Linked DNA regions of Xenopus tropicalis. The protein of the gene in region 3 purifies or fractionates together with the protein of the main gene of each other region. This does not show direct contact. Links are inferred from orthologs where the notes say so. Each region holds a gene or a part of one and is shown on either strand. Other genes may lie near its edges. The genes, in order: pld2, llgl1, dnaja2 and nudc.

Region 1 (4,852 bases), on a different chromosome or scaffold from region 3:
TAATGATATGGGACATTGGATAAGCTCTCAACTGATTCCATCCTCAGGGCACGATGAAGTACGTTTTAATTGTAGGGATTTGGGTGGAAGCAGGATTATATATATAGTACAATTGTGATGCCAAGTAATGATTATGGAGACTTGGAAATGCTAAACCTCCATTTTATATGATGCTGTTAATATTCTCCAAGCCTTCAGGGATATCAGGATACTTTTTTAAGTGCAGTGCCATATGTCAGACCTTTAATGTGTCTTATTTGTGTGGCTAATGGGTATAATGCGCTGGCAAAGGGTACAGGGACAGAGGGTAACCCTGTCTTATTCCTCTGGTAAGGGAAAACGGAGAAGTAGTTCCGTTCACTAGGTCTTCCTAGAGGTGACTCCATTCCAACGAATTAGAGAATTGAGAGCACATTTCTAGAGCTTTTTTTTTCTGAGGAACAAGTGTAGGTTGATGAATAGTCTGCAAAGATGTTTGATGAGCAGCCAGACATAAATCCAGATTGGTCAGGGTGAATTATATCTTGCACCAATTGCTGCAGTCTACTGGCTAGAATTTGAGAGATGATAGCGACTTATTAACGGTATGGAGACAGATGTTGGTAACAACAGAGTATCCTGTGTTTGCTGGAGGGTTTCGGAGAGATATGTTTGGTTAGGGCAGGGATCCCCAACCTTTTGTACTTGTGAGCCACACTCAGATGTAAAAAGTGTGGGTGAGAGCCACGCAAGCATGAAAAAAAGTTATTTTGAAAAGTCAAATAAGGGCTGTGATTGGCTATTGGGTAGCCCCATGTGGGCTGCTGGCCTGCAAGAGGCTCTGCTTGGAGGAAAACTGAGTCTCTGGGCTTCCAAAATTTGCCCCCAAGCTAGAAATTTTAAAATGGGCACCTACTTTGGGAGCAACATCAAAGGGGGTGGTGAGCAATATGTTGCCCCAGAGCCACTGGTTGGGGATCACTGGGTTAGGGTCTTATACCAGTGTGAGGGTAGGCAATAAGAGCCAGGTGTTTTGTTCGATAGTAAGGAACCAGTGGTGGTGACAATCTCTTCTTTTGAAATTTGGCAATACAAAAATGATAATATAACTGGAACTGGTATGGTGTCTAAAAAGTGGTTTAGTTGTGAGTCGACGTGTGTAGCTATAGATGTGTAATGTATACAATAGAATTTGTCAGGTTCTTGGGCTGTTGGATGGCAACCTTGCAGTTGCTATAGCTGTAGAGGTTGTGTCTTGGCTAAGAAGGCTTGAAGTTGCGTTGAGTTTCATAACATTGAGCATTCTTGGTTTGGGTGGTCTCCTCTCTTATTCTTATTACGAGATTGAGGCAATTTAAAGGAAAACTATACCCCCAGAATGAATACGTAACCAACAGAGAGTTTATATTATGTTAAGTGGCCTATTAAAGAATCTCCCCAAACTGGAATATATATATCAGTAAATATTGCCCTTTAGCATCTTTTCCCTTGAGCCGCCATTTTGCGATGAGCTGTGTGCTCCCTCAGAGTTATTCCATTGGCCTATAAGGATCCCGTTATGCAAGCTGTGGGCCAGTAAAATGATAAGATAAAGACAAGCTCCTCTTCTGGAACTGCCTAATTTCCTTTTGTGGCTTTTCCTCAACTAGATGTTCCGGTGCCTCCCCGCCGACGCCGTGACCAGTAACCGTACCCTGCAGGAGTACACTGCCGTAAAGAACCTGGCAGCGCTAAACCCTGGCCTAGCTCGGGAGCAACTAACTGGCATTAGGGGCCACCTGGTGGAATGCCCCCTACAGTTCCTGTCTGGGGAGAATCTCCTTCCCCCTCTAAGCAGCAAGGAGGGCCTGATATCCTCTCAGGTTTGGACGTGAGCCCTGGGCACGGCACCTTGGACTAATGCACTTTGTTCTTTAGACTCACCTTAGGGTGCTGGACTAGTAACAAGAGCAGCACCCATGTTACTCGCTAAACTGCACAGAGTATTGCACTAGCCTTTACAGCTCTCAGATACTCCACTGATTGCCACCATGTCCGTTACTGTCTGCCACTAATCCCTGATACACACCCTGTATTAATCCCAGTCCCACACACACAGTATCCTGTATTAATCCCAGTTTTACTCACACAATATCCTTTGCTAATTACAGTGCAACATGCAAACTATTCTGCACTAATTCCAGCTCTACATATGCAGTATCCTGTCCTAATCCCAGTCCTACTCACAGTATCCTGTCCCAATCCCAGTCCTACTCACAGTATCCTGTCCTAATCCCAGTCCTACTTAAAGTATCCGGTCCTAATCCCAGTCCTACTCACAGTATCCTGTCCTAATCCCAGTCCTACTTACAGTATCCTGTCCTAATCCCAGTCCTACTCACAGTATCCTGTCATAATCCCAGTCCCATACACCATATCCTGTCCTAATCCCAGTCCTACTCACGGTATCTTGTGCTACTCCCAGTCCTACTCACAGTATCTTGTGCTACTCCCAGTCCTACACACAGTATCTTGTGCTACTCCCAGTCCTACATACAGTATCCTGTGCTACTCCCAGTCCTTTTCACAGTATCCTGTCCCAATCCCAGTCCTACTCACAGTATCTTGTGCTACTCCCAGCCCTACACACAGTACCCTGTGCTACTGCCAGCCCTACACACAGTATCCTGTGCTACTCCCAGCCCTACACACAGTATCCTGTGCTACTCCCAGCCCTACACACAGTATCCTGTGCTACTCCCAGCCCTACACACAGTATCCTGTGCTACTCCCAGCCCTACACACAGTATCCTGTGCTACTCCCAGTCCTACACAGTATCTGTTCCTAATCCCAGTCCTACGCACACTATCCTGTATTATTCCCGGCTCTACACACTCCATATAACGTACTAACCCCAGCTCTACTAATATTAACTCTACATAGACTGTATCCTGTACTAATACCAGTTGTAGATATGCACAATTCAACCATTTTAAGATTTAGCCGAATACTGAATTCAACACACAAGCAAAATCACATAATCGTTTAAGAAGTCATGTGATCACTAGGGTTGAATTTGGTTCAACCAGGGCCTCGGATTCGTCCAAAGCATTGTGTGCTGTTCTGCACCCACAACGTACGTGGCACATCCTGTACTCGTTGATAGGCGCTATACACTAATACTGTTCTATTGCAGAACCATGCGCGTAGCATTGTCCGCTCGTTTCAGCGCTGCATGATCATTTTATTTATGGACTATGCAAGTATATAGAGTTCATTTTGTCTTCCATGGTAGGGGCTCCGGCTGCTACTGCACGGGGTTTGCACCACTCTCTCCGGGGGGAAAACAAAACAAACAGGGGAACCTTTGTAGTCAATAAACTTTGTACTTCTTTTTATGTCGTTGTTTTCCTTTTTTTTCTAAATTCAAAAAAATCGAATTTTAACATTTTTCCAAATGAGAAAAAAACTCTAATATCCCAAATGTGCGCAAATCTCGATCACTAAAAAAACAACTCGAACGGAATTTTGAAAAGACGTCTCCCATTGGCTTTTACATGAACTCACCAGCTTTTAGACTGCGATTTTTTTTTATTTAGGTTTTTGCTCCTAAGAAATCTTGAATATTCAGTTTTTCGGAAATTCGAATTCACAATTTTAAAAAGTAAAAATTGCAGTAAAAAGTCAGATTTGAATGTTTTTACTGTATATCTGCCCATAGAAGCTAGGAACCAACTTTTTAGGGTTTGGCCGAACCCACTCGATGGATTTGGGCGAATCCCGAACCGAATTCTAATTAATATACGGTAATTAGGATCGGAAGGGGTTACGCGCGTTGAAATTTTTTTTCACCTGACCATTTAACCCTTTCCTGATGCTAATTAGCATATGCAAATTTATGCTAATTCAGATTCAATTCGGCCGAAACTGAATCTTTAAAAAAAGCCTGGATTTGGCCGAATAAGGATAAATTCAACTTTCAGAATTTATTATTTTGTTCTAAAAAACATGCAGAACTACCAAACAAAACAACCTTAAATGAGAGAATTTATATCAAAATGCTACTGTTTTCGAAATGATTCGATACCCTTCTCCAACCAATGGCAATTTAGTCCATCATTTTTGAGTACTGGATACTCTACAAAAGATTTGCTGAGTACCGAACCTACACAACATAAAGTATAAATGGGGACATCCATTATAGCTTATAATCTACAGCAGGGGTGGCCAGACTTTTTCGTGCGACGATCGACTTTGGCTCCTCCCCGCGTATGTACACATACCCAATAAAAGCGTCGCACTTCCACATTTGCAGGCTTAGACGTGGTCCACCAGAGGTCCATGGGGGATCGACTGATGGACCGCGATTGACGGTTTGGCCACCCCTGATCTACAGTGAAGACTGGCTTCTGCAAAAGGCTACGTCTGGATTCTGACCCACCAGATATGCAACCTCCTAAGGTGCCATATTGAAACCATTACTCAAATGATGTATGCACGGAGGTCTTATTGGGGGGGTCAGGTCAACATAGTAAGTTATGTTGAAAGAAGACGTACGTCCATCAAGCTCAACCATAATGCCTATATATAATCTGCCTAACTACTAGTTGATCCAGAGGAAGGTGAAAAACCCGTCTGAAGCCTCTCTAATTTGCGTCAGAGGGAAAAAAAATGGCGAAACATGGAAATTCGCCGCAAATCCATACCTGGCGAAACATTTCGCCCATCACTAAACTACAGTATATCCCAGTATGTACAATGTACAGCATCACGATTTCTCATAGGTAGATGATCAACACATTCATATGTGTGTATTGTATTTGATATTCTGGATCATGATCGTGTTATGGTGTTTTGGATATAATAATGGAAAGCAGACTTGATTTCTCAGTG
Region 2 (5,677 bases), on a different chromosome or scaffold from region 3:
AAAAATAGGCATCCGACGCTTTCTTAAAGGTACAGTAACACCAAAAAAAATGAAAGAGTCTAAAAGTAATAACAATATAATGTATTGTTGCCCCAGAGAGACTACTATAGTTTATATAAACAAAAGCTGCTGTGTAACCATGGGGGCAGCCATTCAAAGGAGAAAAGGCCCAGGTTACATAGCAAATACCACATAAAACCCCATTATAGTCTAGAAAGTTTATCTGTTATCTCCTATGTAACCTGTGCCTTTTTTTCCTTTTTTCCCCAGCTTCAATGGCTGCCCCCGTGGCTACACAGCAGCTGTGTTTATATAAACTATAGTAGGGTTCCTGTAGCAAACAGACCAGTTTTACCAGTGCAGAGCAGCTGTACATTATATTTTAATTACTTTTAAACACTTTCATTCTTGGCGTTAAGGTGTCCATACACGTGAAGATCCGCTCGCTTGGTGAGGTCGCCAAGCAAGCAGATCTTCACCCGATATTCCCACCTATGGGTGGGTGATACCGGGGAACATGTAGGCTAATTCGATCAAATTATAATGGCGGCAATGGGGCAGTCGGTTAGTCGGATTCAACTAAATCTTTTAACCTGCCCGATCGATATCTGCCCGATTTCAGGGCCGATTACGGTCGGGCATGCTCCTCCACGGGCCGATAAACTGCCGAATAGATCCAAAGGGAGCGATATCAGCAGCTACAATCGGCCAACTTTACTGTCCCTTTAAAATAATCTACTGTACTGTGCAGAAGATGCAAAGTCGTCCCCCCCCCCATACAGCCTGAAAGAGGGGGCAAATAAAAGCACCATACTGACCCAACTATAGCAATGGGTTATACAGGATAAGAGGGGGACAATAGGAGCCAGCCCAGTGAATAACAACACAGCAGGGGGGGTATCCATTCATGGAAGAGGGCACTGTGCAAGTCACTATTAGTAGAGGGTAATATGTGACGCATTAGTGCAAGCACACAATGCCTTTTGTTTTTCCCCAGTGAGTACAAAACACAACAGTGAATGAAGTTAGCATTAACCCCTATGGGGCTGCGGAAGCATTTGCAGCTCCATGAGACTCCTCCCCCCAATCAACCCTGCACGTATTTCACAACAACAACAAAAAAGTTTGTATTAACCCATAAATAAACTTGTCTGTAAATCAGCTGGTGCTTGCTACATTGTTTCAACAGTGGAGACCAGCAGTGCAGATACAGCTTTCAACTCCAATTATGTTCAAGCCCTTTTGGGGGCCACATAAGAGGCCCCTGAAATTACAATTGTTACCCATCACTGCTCTAAGTTTGGGTTGTATCAGGCTTACATATTAAGGTGGTTGGGGGTACGACACTAGGTATGAGGTATCTGGGGGTAACAAGGTGGAAAGAGCCCTAATGAGCATGGCCCTCACTGCCCCCATTATTAGTTGTTATACAAAGGTTATCTGTTTCATGTATCCACCCCGTCGGAATTAGTTGGTGCCTTGTGTAAATACTAGTTACACAATATCATCACAGACAGTTACTTATCAGTACTAACTGGATCTCCTGCACATACTTCAGCAATAGCGGAGGGGTCTCTTTTCCATTCCACTGCTAAAGGAGGGGGGAGTCACACACACAACATGGGGCTGATACAGAAGAGAGGAGCGCCTCGTACACATCAGAATCCGGCACTAAAGGGGGGGCCCTAACATAACAGCAGCCAATGCACATCTGATTGGGGTGTCACCATAGAAGGATTGGGAAAGTACAAACGCTCACAGTATTGGGGAGCTGCTCACAAGCAATTCCTGTACATGACTGGATTTTAGTTCTCAGCAACCAGCATGTAACACCCCCAGGAATTGGTAAGGGGGTGCCATACAGAGTAATAACTTCAGTAATTAGGGGCGCATAGGCTTCATACAGAGAGTAATATCCCCAGTAATTAGGGGCGCATAGGCTTCATACAGAGAGTAATATCCCCAGTAATTAGGGGCACATAGGCTTCATACAGAGAGTAATATCCCCAGTAATTAGGGGCGCATAGGCTTCATACAGAGAGTAATATCCCCAGTAATTAGGGGCGCATAGGCTTCATACAGAGAGTAATATCTCCAGTAATTAGGGGCACATAGGCTTCATACAGAGTAATATCCACAGTAATTAGGGGCACATAGGCTTCATACAGAGTAATATCCCCAGTAATTAGGGGCACATAGGCTAAATACAGAGAGTAATATCCCCAGTAATTAGGGGCACATAGGCTTCATACAGAGAGTAATATCCACAGTAATTGGGGAGGGGGTGCCATACACAAAGTAAAGTAATAACTCCAGTAATTAGGGGGTGCACAGGCTACAGACAGAGTAATATCCCCAGTAATTGGGAAGGGGGTGCCATACACAGAATAATATCCCCAATAATTAGGGGGTGCATAGGCAACATACAGAGAGTAATATCCCCAGTAATTAGGGGGTGCATAGGCAACATACAGAGTAATATTCCCAGTAACTGAAGATGGGGGTGCCATATAGAGTAATAACTCCAGTAATTAGGGGGTGTATAGGGGACATACAGAGTAATAACACCAGTAATTAGGGGGTGTATAGGGGACATACAGAGAGTAATACCTACAGTAATTAGGGGGTGTATAGGGGACATACAGAGAGTAATACCTACAGTAATTAGGGGGTGTATAGGGGACATACAGAGTAATAACACCAGTAATTAGGGGGTGTATAGGGGACATACAGAGTAATAACACCAGTAATTAGGGGGTGTATAGGGTACATACAGAGTAATAACACCAGTAATTAGGGGGTGTATAGGGGTACATACAGAGTAATAACACCAGTAATTAGGGGGTGTATAGGCTACATACAGAGTAATACCTACAGTAATTAGGGGGTGTATAGGGGACATACAGAGTAATACCTACAGTAATTAGGGGGTGTATAGGGGACATACAGAGTAATACCTACAGTAATTAGGGGGTGTATAGGGTACATACAGAGTAATACCTACAGTAATTAGGGGGTGTATAGGGGACATACAGAGTAATACCTACAGTAATTAGGGGGTGTATAGGGGACATACAGAGAGTAATACCTACAGTAATTAGGGGGTGTATAGGGGACATACAGAGTAATAACACCAGTAATTAGGGGGTGTATAGGGGACATACAGAGTAATACCTACAGTAATTAGGGGGTGTATAGGGTACATACAGAGTAATACCTACAGTAATTAGGGGGTGTATAGGGGTACATACAGAGTAATACCTACAGTAATTAGGGGGTGTATAGGGGACATACAGAGTAATACCTACAGTAATTAGGGGGTGTATAGGGTACATACAGAGTAATACCTACAGTAATTAGGGGGTGTATAGGGGACATACAGAGAGTAATATCCCCAGTAAATGGGGAGGGGGTTCCATACACAGAGGGGAAAACGGGGTCCCATAGACCTAGGGGAAGGGAGATACCATGAAGTACTACACGGGGGGGGGTTAATAATTGAGCCCCATACAGAGCCAGTGCAGCACAAAGCACACAGCCGCACTAGGGCTCCCCGCACAACAACACCCACCTTGTTGAAGGCAAACAGTTCCTGCTTTATCTTCTCCCTCTGCGGGTCATGGCCCTGCCGCCTGAACCTAAACTTCATCATGTTGCCGGCGGCCCGGAGCTGACGCAGCCGCTGCCCGTACAGCAGCAGCCTCCCCTCTCTGCAGCCACAGTTAGCGCACACACACACAGGCGGCTGGGGAACTTGATCCAGCCCGCCGCTTGATTGGCGTTCTTATCGACCAATCACAGAACTCTCCAGGGAGCGTCGCTTTGCCCCTTTTCTTTAAGAGCATCAGTACAGGCATCGCGCCTGCGCGGAATGGAGCAGGGGAGGCTGGGAGTTGTAGTTCTTTGTGGGAAAATTCTTACGTTTGTAGTTTTCTTTCAACTTTTTTAACTTTTGGATAATCAAGGCTGGATTTTGTGAATTTATCCGAATATCTTTTATTTACACTGTGCAATTGGTTCCTTTGCTTAGCTAGGCTTTCTTATCCCAATCGGTTTCTGTGAAAGCTCAGATTTATGAGGTGAATGATGTTAACAATGGGTTTCAGAAAGGACCATTGCGTCTCTGTACTCTGTTATAGAGGGCTTGAACCTCTACCATAAAGTGTGGAAGAAATGCTGCTTTGTTAAATACAGGAAGGTTTCCTTGTACAAGCACAATAGTTACCATATCTGTACCCCCTACTGTAAATGATAAGGATATTAGCAGTCACTGAGGGGTTCTGTGCCCATATAAAGGCACAAGGCTGCAGGCTGAGTTATACAGGGAACTCTGAGTATCACTCATGTATTATAAGGGATAATGTACCCCCTACTGTAAATGATAAGGATATTAGCAGTCACTGAGGGGTTCTGTGCCCATATAAAGGCACAAGGCTGCAGGCTGAGTTATACAGGGAACTCTGAGTATCACCCATGTATTATAAGGGATAAAGTACCCCCTACTGTAAATGATAAGGATATTAGCAGTCACTGAGGGGTTCTGTGCCCATATAAAGGCACAAGGCTGCAGGCTGAGTTATACAGGGAACTCTGAGTATCACTCATGTATTATAAGGGATAATGTACCCCCTACTGTAAATGATAAGGATATTAGCAGTCACTGAGGGGTTCTGTGCCCATATAAAGGCACAAGGCTGCAGGCTGAGTTATACAGGGAACTCCGAGTATCACTCATGTATTATAAGGGATAATGTACCCCCTACTGTAAATGATAAGGATATTAGCAGTCACTGAGGGGTTCTGTGCCCATATAAAGGCACAAGGCTGCAGGCTGAGTTATACAGGGAACTCTGAGTATCACTCATGTATTATATGGGATAATGTACCCCCTACTGTAAATGATAAGGATATTAGCAGTCACTGAGGGGTTCTGTGCCCATATAAAGGCACAAGGCTGCAGGCTGAGTTATACAGGGAACTCTGAGTATCACTCATGTATTATAAGGGATAATGTACCCCCTACTGTAAATGATAAGGATATTAGCAGTCACTGAGGGGTTCTGTGCCCATATAAAGGCACAAGGCTGCAGGCTGAGTTATACAGGGAACTCTGAGTATCACTCATATATTATAAGGGATAATGTACCCCCTACTGTAAATGATAAGGATATTAGCAGTCACTGAGGGGTTCTGTGCCCATATAAAGGCACAAGGCTGCAGGCTGAGTTATACAGGGAACTCTGAGTATCACTCATGTATTATAAGGGATAATGTACCCCCTACTGTAAATGATAAGGATATTAGAAGCTATTCTCCTAATGGGAGACAATTTTGTGGGATATTTGGGGAGTACCTGCAATCAGACTCCCTGCCCTGTTACTCAGCAGCGACCGTTAGACATTACATATTCCCCAGTGCCAGGTCACGATGGGAGACAGACAATAGTCTGGGCACTCAGATGACTTATGGTGGGAGCGGATTCCAGAAAAACAAGTATAACAAAGACAGAACTGATGGCTGAGAGGAGAGCGCAGAGTATCTGAGAGATAACTGACAAATAAATCACCTTGTCTCTGTAACTCATATTTTTAAGTTTCGTGCTCACAGACAGTTTAACTTGTGATTGGGGCCCAGTGTGGGGCCAACAGGGCCATAGGTTGGATAATGTATATACACT
Region 3 (5,547 bases):
TAATTATACATTGCTCTTATAATTATACTTCCTAAAAGATCATTATTAAAAATGACAGTTTATAAGCATTGAAATAGAATGCACAATGTAGGTTTGTTTTTTATTTTATAAATAGAGGCAGCTGTGTAGACAGTGGGGAATCCAATCCAGCTGTAAATTGCAAAAAGGCATATTTACATAACAAAATAGGAGAAGAATACAATAGGTTTGTTCTTACACAGGTAAATAAAGAAGTCAAATGTAATTCATGGCTCTACATGAATATAGAATGAAAGCTGCTCAAAAAATATTTTTTGTCAAGAAATAGCTATATTCTTGGCACTCAAATATTCAACTATTCAATTACCGTAAATATACAAACTTAAAACACCCACACATTTTTGACATTGATACTTGAAGTCTTGATAGCCCCATATGGGTAACACTATTTTGTAAAAGTCGTGGAGCTAAATCATCTAAGATATATTATCTGATGTTTGGTTCTTGTGAGGTAGATCATTTAATTACAAGAGCACAAACCCTATTTAGCCCTTTGGTGTAACAGTTATGGTTAACATATAAGCATGAGTTCATTATACAGGAGGGATTACCCATGCACAGCTAATGCAATTTTCTTTTACTTGTGAGCAGGGCCCTCCCCCTGTAGCCTCCAATCCTTATCCAAATGTAAACCAGTGGTTCGTGAGAAACATGTTGCCCCCCCAACCCCTTGGATGTTGCTCCCAGGGGCCACAAAACAGGTGCTTAATTTTGAATTCCTGGGTTGGAGGCATGTTTTGGTTGCATAAAAACCAAGTATAATGCCAAACAGAGCCTTCTATAGGCTGCCAGCCCACATAGGGGCTATTGAGTAGGCAATTATAGTTCTTATTGGCACACCTAGGAACATTTTCCATGCTTGTGTTGCTCTCCAACACTTATTCCATTTAAATGTGGTTCACGGGTATAAAAGATTGGGGACTACGGGTATAAAAGGTTGGGGATCTCTGCTGTAAACCATTTTTTGTGAATTTTCTATAAGTAAATGTTAACTGCTTTGTCTTATGTACCTCATTCTGTAAAGCGCTGCACGAATTGACGGTGCTATATAAATAATAATTTTTCATATGCCCAGCACAATCCTTATTCATTAAACTTGTTATCAACCCCTTTAAAGGGGTGGTTTAACTTTAAGTTAACTTTTCTTTTCAATAATTTTTATTTGAATTTTGATTTTTATACAGTGGATATCAGAATATATAACAGTCAAGTTTCAGGTAGCATTAATCTGAGAGTATTAGAAAAGGAGAAAGAAAAGAGCCACGGTTCCACGGGATCAAGTTTTTGGAGATGGGAGAAAAATGCAACAAATAACTAAAGGATGTAACCAGGTTAAATTTGACAGTTACCAGAATATTAACAACATTTGCTTATGATCAAATAATGCCTTTGAGGTCTTAGGTTCATAATTACTCATACATTAGTTGTCCCACAGTTGGGGGGGCAAAAAGCAAACTCTAAGTTAACTTTTATGGGGTTAAAAGGCACTAAGTTGGCCCAGGTGCAGTAACCCATTGCGACCAATTGGCAGGTAGCGTTAACTGGTCAACTGTTTAAAAACAAACATCCTATTGGTTGCTATGGGTTAGTGCACATATGCAAGCTTAGTGCCTTTAATTACATATGGGGGTTAGTATGTTATAGAATGGGCAGTTCTTAGTAACTTTTAAACTGGTTCTCATTTTTTATCTTTTTGTATTATTTGCTTTCCTTTTCTGACTCTTTAACAAAGGGGGTCACTGACCCTAAAAGCCAATAAACGATTGCGCTGTGAGGCTACAATTTACAATTATTTATTGCTTATCTTCATATTCAGACCCACTCCTATTCATATTCCAGTTTCTCATTCAAATCACTGCCTGGCTGCAAGGGTAATTTGGACCCTAGCAACCATATAGTTGCTAAAATTCCAAAATTGGGCACTGCTGAATATGAAACTACATAATTAAAAATACAAAAATAGTATAAAAAAAATGAAGACTAATTGCAAATTGTTTCAGAATTGCACTCTGTTCCACATACTAAAAAATGTAAAGGTGGACAACCCCTATATGCCTACCTAAAGCGGGGGATATTGAGTAATCTAAAGGCCATTGAATTACAACGAGGGGAAGTGAACCTGTTGGATCGAGGATTGCATCAATGAGCCAATGTGGTCCCTGATCCGATGGGAAAATCATGTCTGCCCTTTCAATACCTGACCAATTTTAGGCCAGATATTGGGTTGGGTAGGCCTGTCGGGGGTGGGCACAAAGGCAGAACTGCTGAATTGGTCTGAACGACCCAAATTTGCATCTTAAATCTGCCAGTGTATGGCCAACTTTACTGCTGTAAAAACAGTGCTATGGCAATTAAATTAACACATTATTTACCACAAAGAATGTAATATAATATAACCATGATCTAACAGATCTGTAACTTGTTTATGACATCTCTCAGTGGGCAAACACTGATTTCCAAACTACAGGTATGGGACCCATTATCCAGAATGCTCGGGACCAAGGGTATTCCGGATAAGGGGTCTTTACGTAATTTGGATCTCCATACCTTAAGTCTACTAAGAAATCAATAAAACATTAATTAAACCCAATATGATTATTTTACATACAGTAAGGAGTAATTATATCTTAGTTGAGATCAAATACAAAGCACCGTTTTATTTTTACAGAGAAAAAGGAAATCAATTTTAAAAATCAGAATTATTTGATTAAAATGGAGTCTATGGGAGACAGGCTTTCCCTAATTCGGAGCTTTCTGGATATCGGGTTTCCGGATAAGGGATCCCATACCTGTACTACCCAAAACCAATGTGGTTTTTTTGAAACTATGAGGAACCCAGGTATATCTGCCCCAAGAAGGCTGTTATGAATATCTAGCAAAGTTCATTTTTTTTTATCATATAATAACTTCAGTCCAATGCCTTGAGTAGAATTCTTAAGAAAGTGAGAGGGATATTCATTGCTAAAGATAAAAAGAGCCTACATCTTTGCACTGAAATCTGGACATCCAAGAAAGAAAACAAGAAAATCTGCAACTGTTTTCAAGATGGAACCTGCTTGATGATGATGATGATGGATACTATTATGGTTAAACAGTTAAGGGTGGCGGCAAGTCTAGGCACCCAGTTGTCCTTGAACTGCAATTCCCAAATCCCTAGATAAATTTCATCTTAGAGGTGCGTTTTTGACACTGCTGCCCTACTGATTATGGGGGATGTTATCTTCCTGCCAGATAATGCGTCCGGGTTACAATTTACAACAGGCTAATCACATACAGCCTTGGCCCTGCATGTAACAAGACTCCGCTAAGAAATAACAATATGGGGGAGGGGCCGAGTACGGGGTCTCCTTTTCAACACTGCGTTGACCCCCATCTCTTCAATCCCAATTCCCCCTGCCTCCCACCCCTCACCTCTGTGGGTTTATTCCACAAAAGCGCTAGGGCCTCAAAATGCCGGTGTGCTCTTCAAGCAGCCACACGCACATACCTTCTTTAAGTCGTTCTCGCTGGCACCGGGGGCCACCCCAAGGATGTCGTACAGCTTTGTGTCCGCGACGTTGGACATGGCGGGGTGCTGGAAGAAAACGGCGGCGGAGGGCCTACAGATAACGAGGTGACGGAAGAAGCTGAGAGCCCTCCGTGGGGGACAAGAACTGAAAAAGAGAGACCGGAAACGCTGTGCGGCAGCGTCACTCACACGTGACCCCGCCTCGTGTCGTCACTAACCCGCCCCTTTACCTATGGCGTATTAGAAACATACCTGAGAAGTGATAAAGCTTTCTTAGGAAGTAGGTCTTGCCACTTACATTAGGCTTCTTTGTAACGCCGCAGAATAGTATAAGGCAGCTACAGTATCAGTATAAAGCGTAATAAGCGCAACTGAAAGACTAAAGGCCTCGCAATAAATGTGTTGCTATGGTAACGTTAATTTTTACTAGTTGCAATTTTCTCTTATTTTTTGTACTTTAGCCCAGGCTGGTAGTGTGAAGGCTGTGAATGTTAGCAGGAGTTGGTTCCTTATAACTTTACGGTGGTGGTTCTAAAACCACTGCCAATATATAAATAAAAATATTCTCAATCTTTCCATTGCTACGTCACGTACAGGGGCGGTCCCTAATTGGACTTTTTATGTAAGATTTTTTTATAGACATGTCCAGAAATTATTTTTTAGTGTCTACACCCTTAAACCTAAATTAGCGGTTGGGCGTGAGTGTAAATTATATAGCATTGTGTTGTATTTAAATTGTTTTGCTATTACCATTTTACCAGTGTACCACATACCTGCTACAGCACCCAATCAGTAATTAGTCATTAACCTTTACTTGCACCAAATTGATATAAAGCTAATGATCAGTTGGTTGCTAGGGGGTCACATTAACACCAGTGGTGCAGTTTATTGCCTTTATTAGTAGCAGCAGCCTGTAATTGTAATGGAGCTGAAGGGTTGTTTTTGCCCCAGAGTTGCCTAACATCCAGGAAGATCTGTGAGCCACTCATGTTGCTAGGGGCATCACAGAAACAGCACAGTATGCCAACCTTAGAACTTACCCTTAGCTACGGTTGCTACCTTTTCTGAAATCAAGCATGATCTGTATGTTGTAACTCCTGTCCTGCCCGGGGCCATCTGATTGCGAACCACCCAAAGGTGTTGCTTAGTGGCATCTCGCTAGTAGTGCAGTATTGCACATAAAGTGCTCACCAGTTTGTAGCTTCTCACTTACTAACCACAAAGATAAATAAGACTATGAAGCCAGTTTCCCTCAGTACTTCCTGATTCCAAAAAACTTTAGGATGAAGACACACAGAGCTACTTGCCACTGCTACAAAAATAGACAATGCTAATAATTTACTGATAATTGTCTTTACGTAGGTTTTAGCAGGGGCAATTCTCAGTATTGTCTATGGCAGGTTATTTTCTGGCGTTTTGTAGCCATGACAAGTAGCTGCTACTAAATAGCTTTTTCGCCCTTAAACGAGAAGGAAAAGCTAAGTCGCTTGGGGGTGCCAAAATGTTAGGCACCCCCAAGTGACTTGTATCACTTACCTTCTACCCTGGGCTGCTGCCCCTGTATGGAGAGAACAGCACCAGCCCGGGGTAGCAGCGATCGCTTCCTCCTTCCTTCTTTGCTGAGCACGCATGCGCAGTAGAGTGAAAAGCCGAACTTTAACAGAGAAGTCGGCTTTTTCACTCTACTGCGCATGCGCCGGACTCAGAGTCGCAGCGAAACGAAGGAGGAAGCGCATTGCCCCAGGTGCCCCGGGCTGGTGCGGTTTTCTCCTAACAGGGGCACCAGCCCTGGGTACGAGGTAAGCGATTCAAGTCACTTGGGGGTGCTTAACATTTTAGCACCCCCAAGTGACTTAGCCTTTCCTTCCCCTTTAAAGGAGCTGTTAAAACCAAGGGGCCCATTCATTAAACAACAATTTTTTTTTTGGAGAAAAAAATCATAATTTTTCTAAGTTATAGAACTTTTGTAATGCCCACAATAATTAAGTTTAAATTCCACA
Region 4 (5,386 bases), on a different chromosome or scaffold from region 3:
AACCTTATCAATTTCTTTTTGTAGTCTCTCTGCTTCCTCATCAGTGAGCTCTGTGATTCTGGACTCTCCAGCTTCCGTTTCTTTTTTCTTGGCTTCCCGTTCTTGCCTCACAGCCTCTCTCTCCAGACGATCAGCATCCTTCTGTTTCTGAGCTGCTAAAGCTAGTTTATTGTGGTGGTTGAAGGCCTGGGTGATGAGCTGTAGAAAAAAAAAAATAATTTGTACATTCACACAGTATATCTCTGCATTAAAGGGAAAGAAACATGTAAGTAGAGAAAAAACAAATTTTGGAAACCCTTTGCTGAAACTGACCACTTGGTCAGTTGGGTTTATCCATTCAACTGTCCCACAGTGACAACAATCAAATTAAAAGCCCAATGCTGTCCTTGGATTTTCTAGTCTGCCCAATAGACAACAGGCCGGCCATGGTTATGGCCCATACATAGACCAACAGGCTTTCAGCTCAATTTGGAGTAGGCAACTCGCATCAGCCTGTTTATCAACAGCTTTTCTCACAACATTATTGTGTTGCTGAGAATCTGCTGCCACATTTATCAACAAACCATAATGTAGGTTTGCCCCCTGTGGAGAAACTGTTCTAACAAACTGATTATAACAGAAATTAGAAAAAAAAAAAAAAAAAGAATACATAGAAAAACATTCTCCAGGGAACAACTAACTAGTCACATCGTATATCAAACAAATGACAATGTATCAAACTTGAGTATCTGGAAAAAAATTATAGGTCAACAAGGAGTATACATGTAATCATAGATGTGGAGGCCAGATAAGAAACCTAATGAAGAACAGACTGAACTAGTTAACATGCTGTGTATTGATGAGTTAGCCAACATACTGTATATTGAAAGAGCATATTAGCTGGCTTCATCTGTTTTTGTAACCTTGCTTTCAACACGAATATAATGCATTTCTGCAAAAATTTGGTGAACAACTGTTCAGCTCTTTCTCACCTTTTCAGCTGCAGCATTTTCTCCTCCAACAAAGAAGTCAGTCTTGCGCCTCAGAAAACTGAAGAATGTGTTTACCAACTTTAGAGGGAGAGAAAAAAAACAAAGAAATTAGATCTGCAATAAAGGAAGATGATTTGAAAATCTAAAGGTCCCCATACACGGTAAGATCCGCTCGCTTGGCGAGATCGCCAAGCGAGCGGATCTTCCCCCGATATCCCCACGGGTGGGCGATATTGGGGAGCTTGAAGTTAAAAAAAAATAATAATAATAATTATGTAGGCGGCAATGGGGCAGTCGGTTCGGGGACCGCATCAACGAGCCGATGCGGTCCCCGATCTGACTGGATTTTCTAACCCGGCCGGTCGATATCTGCCCAATTTCAGGCCAGATATCGGTCGGCCAGCCCGCTCGTTTCTGCCCCTACACAGGCAGATAAGCTGCAGAGTCTGTCCAAGGGACCGATATCGGCAGCTTCTATCGGCCTGTGTATGGGGGCCTTAACTTGCGTGCCATTGAATATATGAGTTTGCACACCATACTCAGCCATGAACTATATACAGCATACAAAAATACCCAGATGTTGGTGAAACACAACATGAACAACAAATAACAGGGCCTATGTCAGGGATATCCTGTATCTTTCTAAAGTTGCTACATTCCTTCTAAAGCGAAAGATTTACACTAAAAAAGCAGCCTCTATTATGTTTAACAGCCAAATATCTTGTTTATTAAAAGGGAAATTTGTTTTTTCTAATGCAGAGAGAACAATAGCGATCTCTGCACTAGCGATGTAGCACCCCATTGACCCTCTCAGACACCAAGGAGGTAAGTGCAGAGCGTGTTAGTGGCAGGAGCAGAATCAGCAACTGCGCTGCACATCAAAGGAGATTATTTTCTGTAAATGGGCCAAGGAAGAGGCTGGAAAACCTGGTAGAATCTCATTGCAATGGTCAGCAGTTCTATTGTAGGAGCAAAAAAAAAGTGGGAAAGTGCAGGGATTGGCATGGCAGAGAAGGAGCGATTGGAGAGGTGTATTAGCCTGGCAGCAGTATTCATTATGGACTGGAGTGGGGACAGTCTTTGGAGGGGAAGGCCAATTAACAGGGAGTTACAGTAGTCCAGGCGAGATATTATAAGAGAGTGAATAAGAATTTTGGCAGCATCTTGGGTGATAAATGATCGTATTTTGGAAATATTTCTTAGGTGAAAGTGACATGATTTGGTAAGTGATTGGATATGAGGAGTGAAGGAGAGGGCAGAATCAAGGATAACCCCAAGGCACCGGGCCTGGGAAGATGGGGTGATGGTAGAATTGTTAACCGTTACAGATACCTCGGGAACAATGTGGGCGTTGGATGGGGGAAAGAGAACCAATTCAGTCTTAGAGAGGTTTAATTTAAGGTAATGTTTGGACATCCAAGCGGACAGGCAGGAAGAGACGCGAGTTAGAAGCTCTGGGTTGAGATCAGGAGAGGAAAGAGAGGTGGTACTGAAAGCCACAAGAATTGATTAATTTGCCAAGTGAGGAGGTATAGAGAGAAAATAGTAAGGGGCCCAGGACAGAGCCTTGGGGAACCCCGACAGAAAGAGGCAAGGGAGAAGATGATTCCCCATTGTAAGAGACACTGAAGGATCGATCTGAGAGATAAGATGAAAACCAGGATAAGGCTGTGTCACGAAGGCCAAGAGAGCGGAGAGTCTGGAGGAGAAGAGGGTGATCCACAGTGTCAAAAGCAGCAGAGAGATCGAGAAGTATTAGTAGCGAGTAGTGTTCTTTGGCTTTAGCCGATAGGAGGTAATTTGTTCGTTGGGTTAGAGCAGTTTCGGTGGAGTGTTGTTATCTAAAACCAGATTGTAGGGGATCCAGGAGGTTATTGTCAGAGAGGAATAGCGTCAGTCGGTTGTAGACTAGGCGCTCAAGCAGTTTGGAGATGAATGGGAGCAGAGAGATAGGTCGGAGGTTAGTAGGATTGAAGGGATCAAGGGAGGGTTTTTTCAGAATAGGGGTTACAAGTGCATGTTTCAGTTGGGAGGGAAAGATTCCAGTAAAGAGTGAGAGATTGAATAGATGAGTTAAGGCTTTGATAAGACAGGGGTTGGCATTACGTAGAAGTTTGGTAGGAATGGGATCAAGCAGGCAGGTAGTAAGGTCAGAGGAAGACAACAGTTTTGAGACTTCCTCTTCAGTGAGTAAGATCAAATCCAATTTCTGGTATATTTCCCTAAGGAACAGCAATATTTAAGCCCTACAACATGAAGGGTGTGCAGGAAAGCTACATTTAAAAGAAAAAAAACGCACGCAATAGTTATGCCTTGGCCAACTTTTGCAGCATTTAAAGCGACTTGAACATATTTTGACTTCTGTAACAACTGTGATTTTGAAAAATATAAATTAAAACACAGGGATTACCATTGCCTTAAATAATTTCTCACCTCTTGCACTCCTCCTTCATGTTGCTGGGCCATAGCCAACAACATTGCATCAAATCGTTCATCCTCTCCGGAGGCCGCCATGCTGCTCAGTTCGCCAGATGCTGCACTGCTACCGGGTCTTACGCTAACCCCGCCCCTTCCAGGAGCTTATAACCAATCAGCGAAAAGAAATCTACACTGCTAGAGTTGCTATAGCAACATTAATCAAGCTACACGATGGTTCTGGAATATATGGCGTTTTAGAGATAGGGCACCAGTCGAGCATGCGCAACAAACAACATGTACCGAATACCAGAGTTGGGACACGTTTTATAATTTATTGTAATATGTTACTTTTTGCCGATTATATACTAAGTCCATTGTAGTTTTTAACCACTCCACGTGGTGACGTGCCGGTAAACTAGGTGTAGTTTTCCTCTTCTAAGATGGCGGGGCGTTATGGACTGTAATTTCCTGTAGCAAGATGGTGGAAAGTAAAGACCGGAACTACCCCACTGCCAAGATGACGGATCCAAGTGGTGCTTCAGTTGTTTTTGTTGTGTATGGAATTCCTCGTTCGTTCCGCTCTGCCCAGCTTCGCCACTATTTCAGTCAGTTCACAGAGAGCGATGGCTTTGTGTGTTTTCATTTCAGGCACCGACCAGAGCGGCGGGGAGAGAATTCGGGTACTTGCTGTTGTCCGGTTACCGTCAAACCGGAGCGATCCCGCAGTTTCCTGGAAATGTACAATATGAAACCGTGGCTGGATAAGGAAGGAAATCAAGTCCCTGGTAGATGCTTGGTTCGGAAAGTTCGTGTTGGTCCGATGGAAGGTACAAATAAACAAGTTAGGGTACCCCCGTGATTGATTTAGGGGCCTGAGCAACTGGGTGATATTGAACGATTGGAAATGTCTGTTTTCATACCATTGTGTTGACTTTTGCTTTCACTCGCTCTCAAGTCAACCATTATCACTGTAATAACATACAGTACTTTTGTGAAACATTGTCATATTTCCACAAGGAGACTTGTCTTTTTTTTTCCCAGACTTGACTAAAATTCACTCACTATTTTCTGGCACAAATGAATGTGTTTCATTGTTAATTCTGCCCCCTAGAGTATATTTTGTGGTGGGTGTAGGACTGTGTACCCTCTTTAAGTTTTACTATCTTCCATATGTGTCATTTCTTGGTGATTTTTCGATTTTTTAAATGTTGTCATTGGCATTACAGTTTTTGAATCTGCCCATGCAGAAGCTATTTTAAATGTAGACTGGCAGCTTTGCCATGGGATGAACCAGTCGTCTCTGTTCTGGCAGCGCTCCTGCAGAACACATCACACATGAGTGAAAGGTTGTCAGATTTTTTTTTTCAGTTCAAGACTCCTTGGAGGTATAACCTTTGGTCAGGGCCCTGCTCATAAAAATGTTTTAGATAAATTAAAATATCAGTGCATCAGGCATTCAGCCACTGTTCCAGGCATATTTAGATAGCAAGTAAGTTTTATTTATCCATATCTCACCCTAAGGGCAGTGACATACGGGGAGATTAGTCGCCCCGCAACAAATCTTCGTTACCGTGGGCGACTAATCTCTAAAGGTGGCCATACACGTAGCAATTTCAATGATCGCACGAAAGTTCTTTCCCACTCTCCACAGACCTTCAGGACTGAATCATCAGATATGGTAAAAACAATAGAAATTCTACTTCCTTCTGCCGATTCAGCCCTGAACGTAAATTTTCCGTTATCGGTCGCCTTCAATGGCGCACAATCAATAACTTTTAATCAGCCTTTTGCGATATCGGTCGCCTCGTCAAGCCGCCATACACGCACTAAATATTGTATGAAAGAAGGTTTTGTGCAATATCATCGGTACGTGTATGACCAGCTTTTTAAGTGACTTTCAAGAGTGTTCTCTAGGAGAGCAAAATAGACAACAATTTTTCTATCACAACTGATATCAGGAGGTGTTTAGTATTACTGATATCAGGAGGTAAAGATAA

What was found.
Region 1: the proteins of dnaja2 (region 3) and pld2 purify together in Homo sapiens (affinity purification with mass spectrometry; 3 studies listed by BioGRID and IntAct, with this or other methods). This does not show direct contact. The link is inferred for Xenopus tropicalis from reciprocal best matches to the Homo sapiens genes DNAJA2 and PLD2.
Region 2: the proteins of dnaja2 (region 3) and llgl1 purify together in Homo sapiens (co-immunoprecipitation; 3 studies listed by BioGRID and IntAct, with this or other methods). This does not show direct contact. The link is inferred for Xenopus tropicalis from reciprocal best matches to the Homo sapiens genes DNAJA2 and LLGL1.
Region 4: the proteins of dnaja2 (region 3) and nudc purify together in Homo sapiens (affinity purification with mass spectrometry; 4 studies listed by BioGRID and IntAct, with this or other methods). This does not show direct contact. The link is inferred for Xenopus tropicalis from reciprocal best matches to the Homo sapiens genes DNAJA2 and NUDC.

The regions. Positions count from the first base shown.
Region 1 is NC_030679.2:148,025,366-148,030,217, reverse strand, and holds the end of pld2 (phospholipase D2), read left to right. Parts: intron 1-1,628; coding exon 1,629-1,853; 3' UTR 1,854-3,357; downstream 3,358-4,852.
Region 2 is NC_030685.2:16,024,429-16,030,105, forward strand, and holds the start of llgl1 (lethal(2) giant larvae protein homolog 1), read right to left. Parts: upstream 3,798-5,677; 5' UTR 3,653-3,797; coding exon 3,572-3,652; intron 1-3,571. UniProt on the Homo sapiens protein: Cortical cytoskeleton protein found in a complex involved in maintaining cell polarity and epithelial integrity. Involved in the regulation of mitotic spindle orientation, proliferation, differentiation and tissue organization of neuroepithelial cells.
Region 3 is NC_030680.2:73,214,169-73,219,715, forward strand, and holds the start of dnaja2 (dnaJ homolog subfamily A member 2), read right to left. Parts: upstream 3,671-5,547; 5' UTR 3,605-3,670; coding exon 3,527-3,604; intron 1-3,526. UniProt on the Homo sapiens protein: Co-chaperone of Hsc70. Stimulates ATP hydrolysis and the folding of unfolded proteins mediated by HSPA1A/B (in vitro).
Region 4 is NC_030678.2:77,784,545-77,789,930, reverse strand, and holds the start of nudc (nuclear migration protein nudC), read right to left. Parts: upstream 3,498-5,386; 5' UTR 3,486-3,497; coding exon 3,405-3,485; intron 1,050-3,404; coding exon 972-1,049; intron 199-971; coding exon 4-198; intron 1-3. Other genes in the region: gpatch3 (G patch domain-containing protein 3), read left to right, coding at 3,907-4,216. UniProt on the Homo sapiens protein: Plays a role in neurogenesis and neuronal migration. Necessary for correct formation of mitotic spindles and chromosome separation during mitosis. Necessary for cytokinesis and cell proliferation.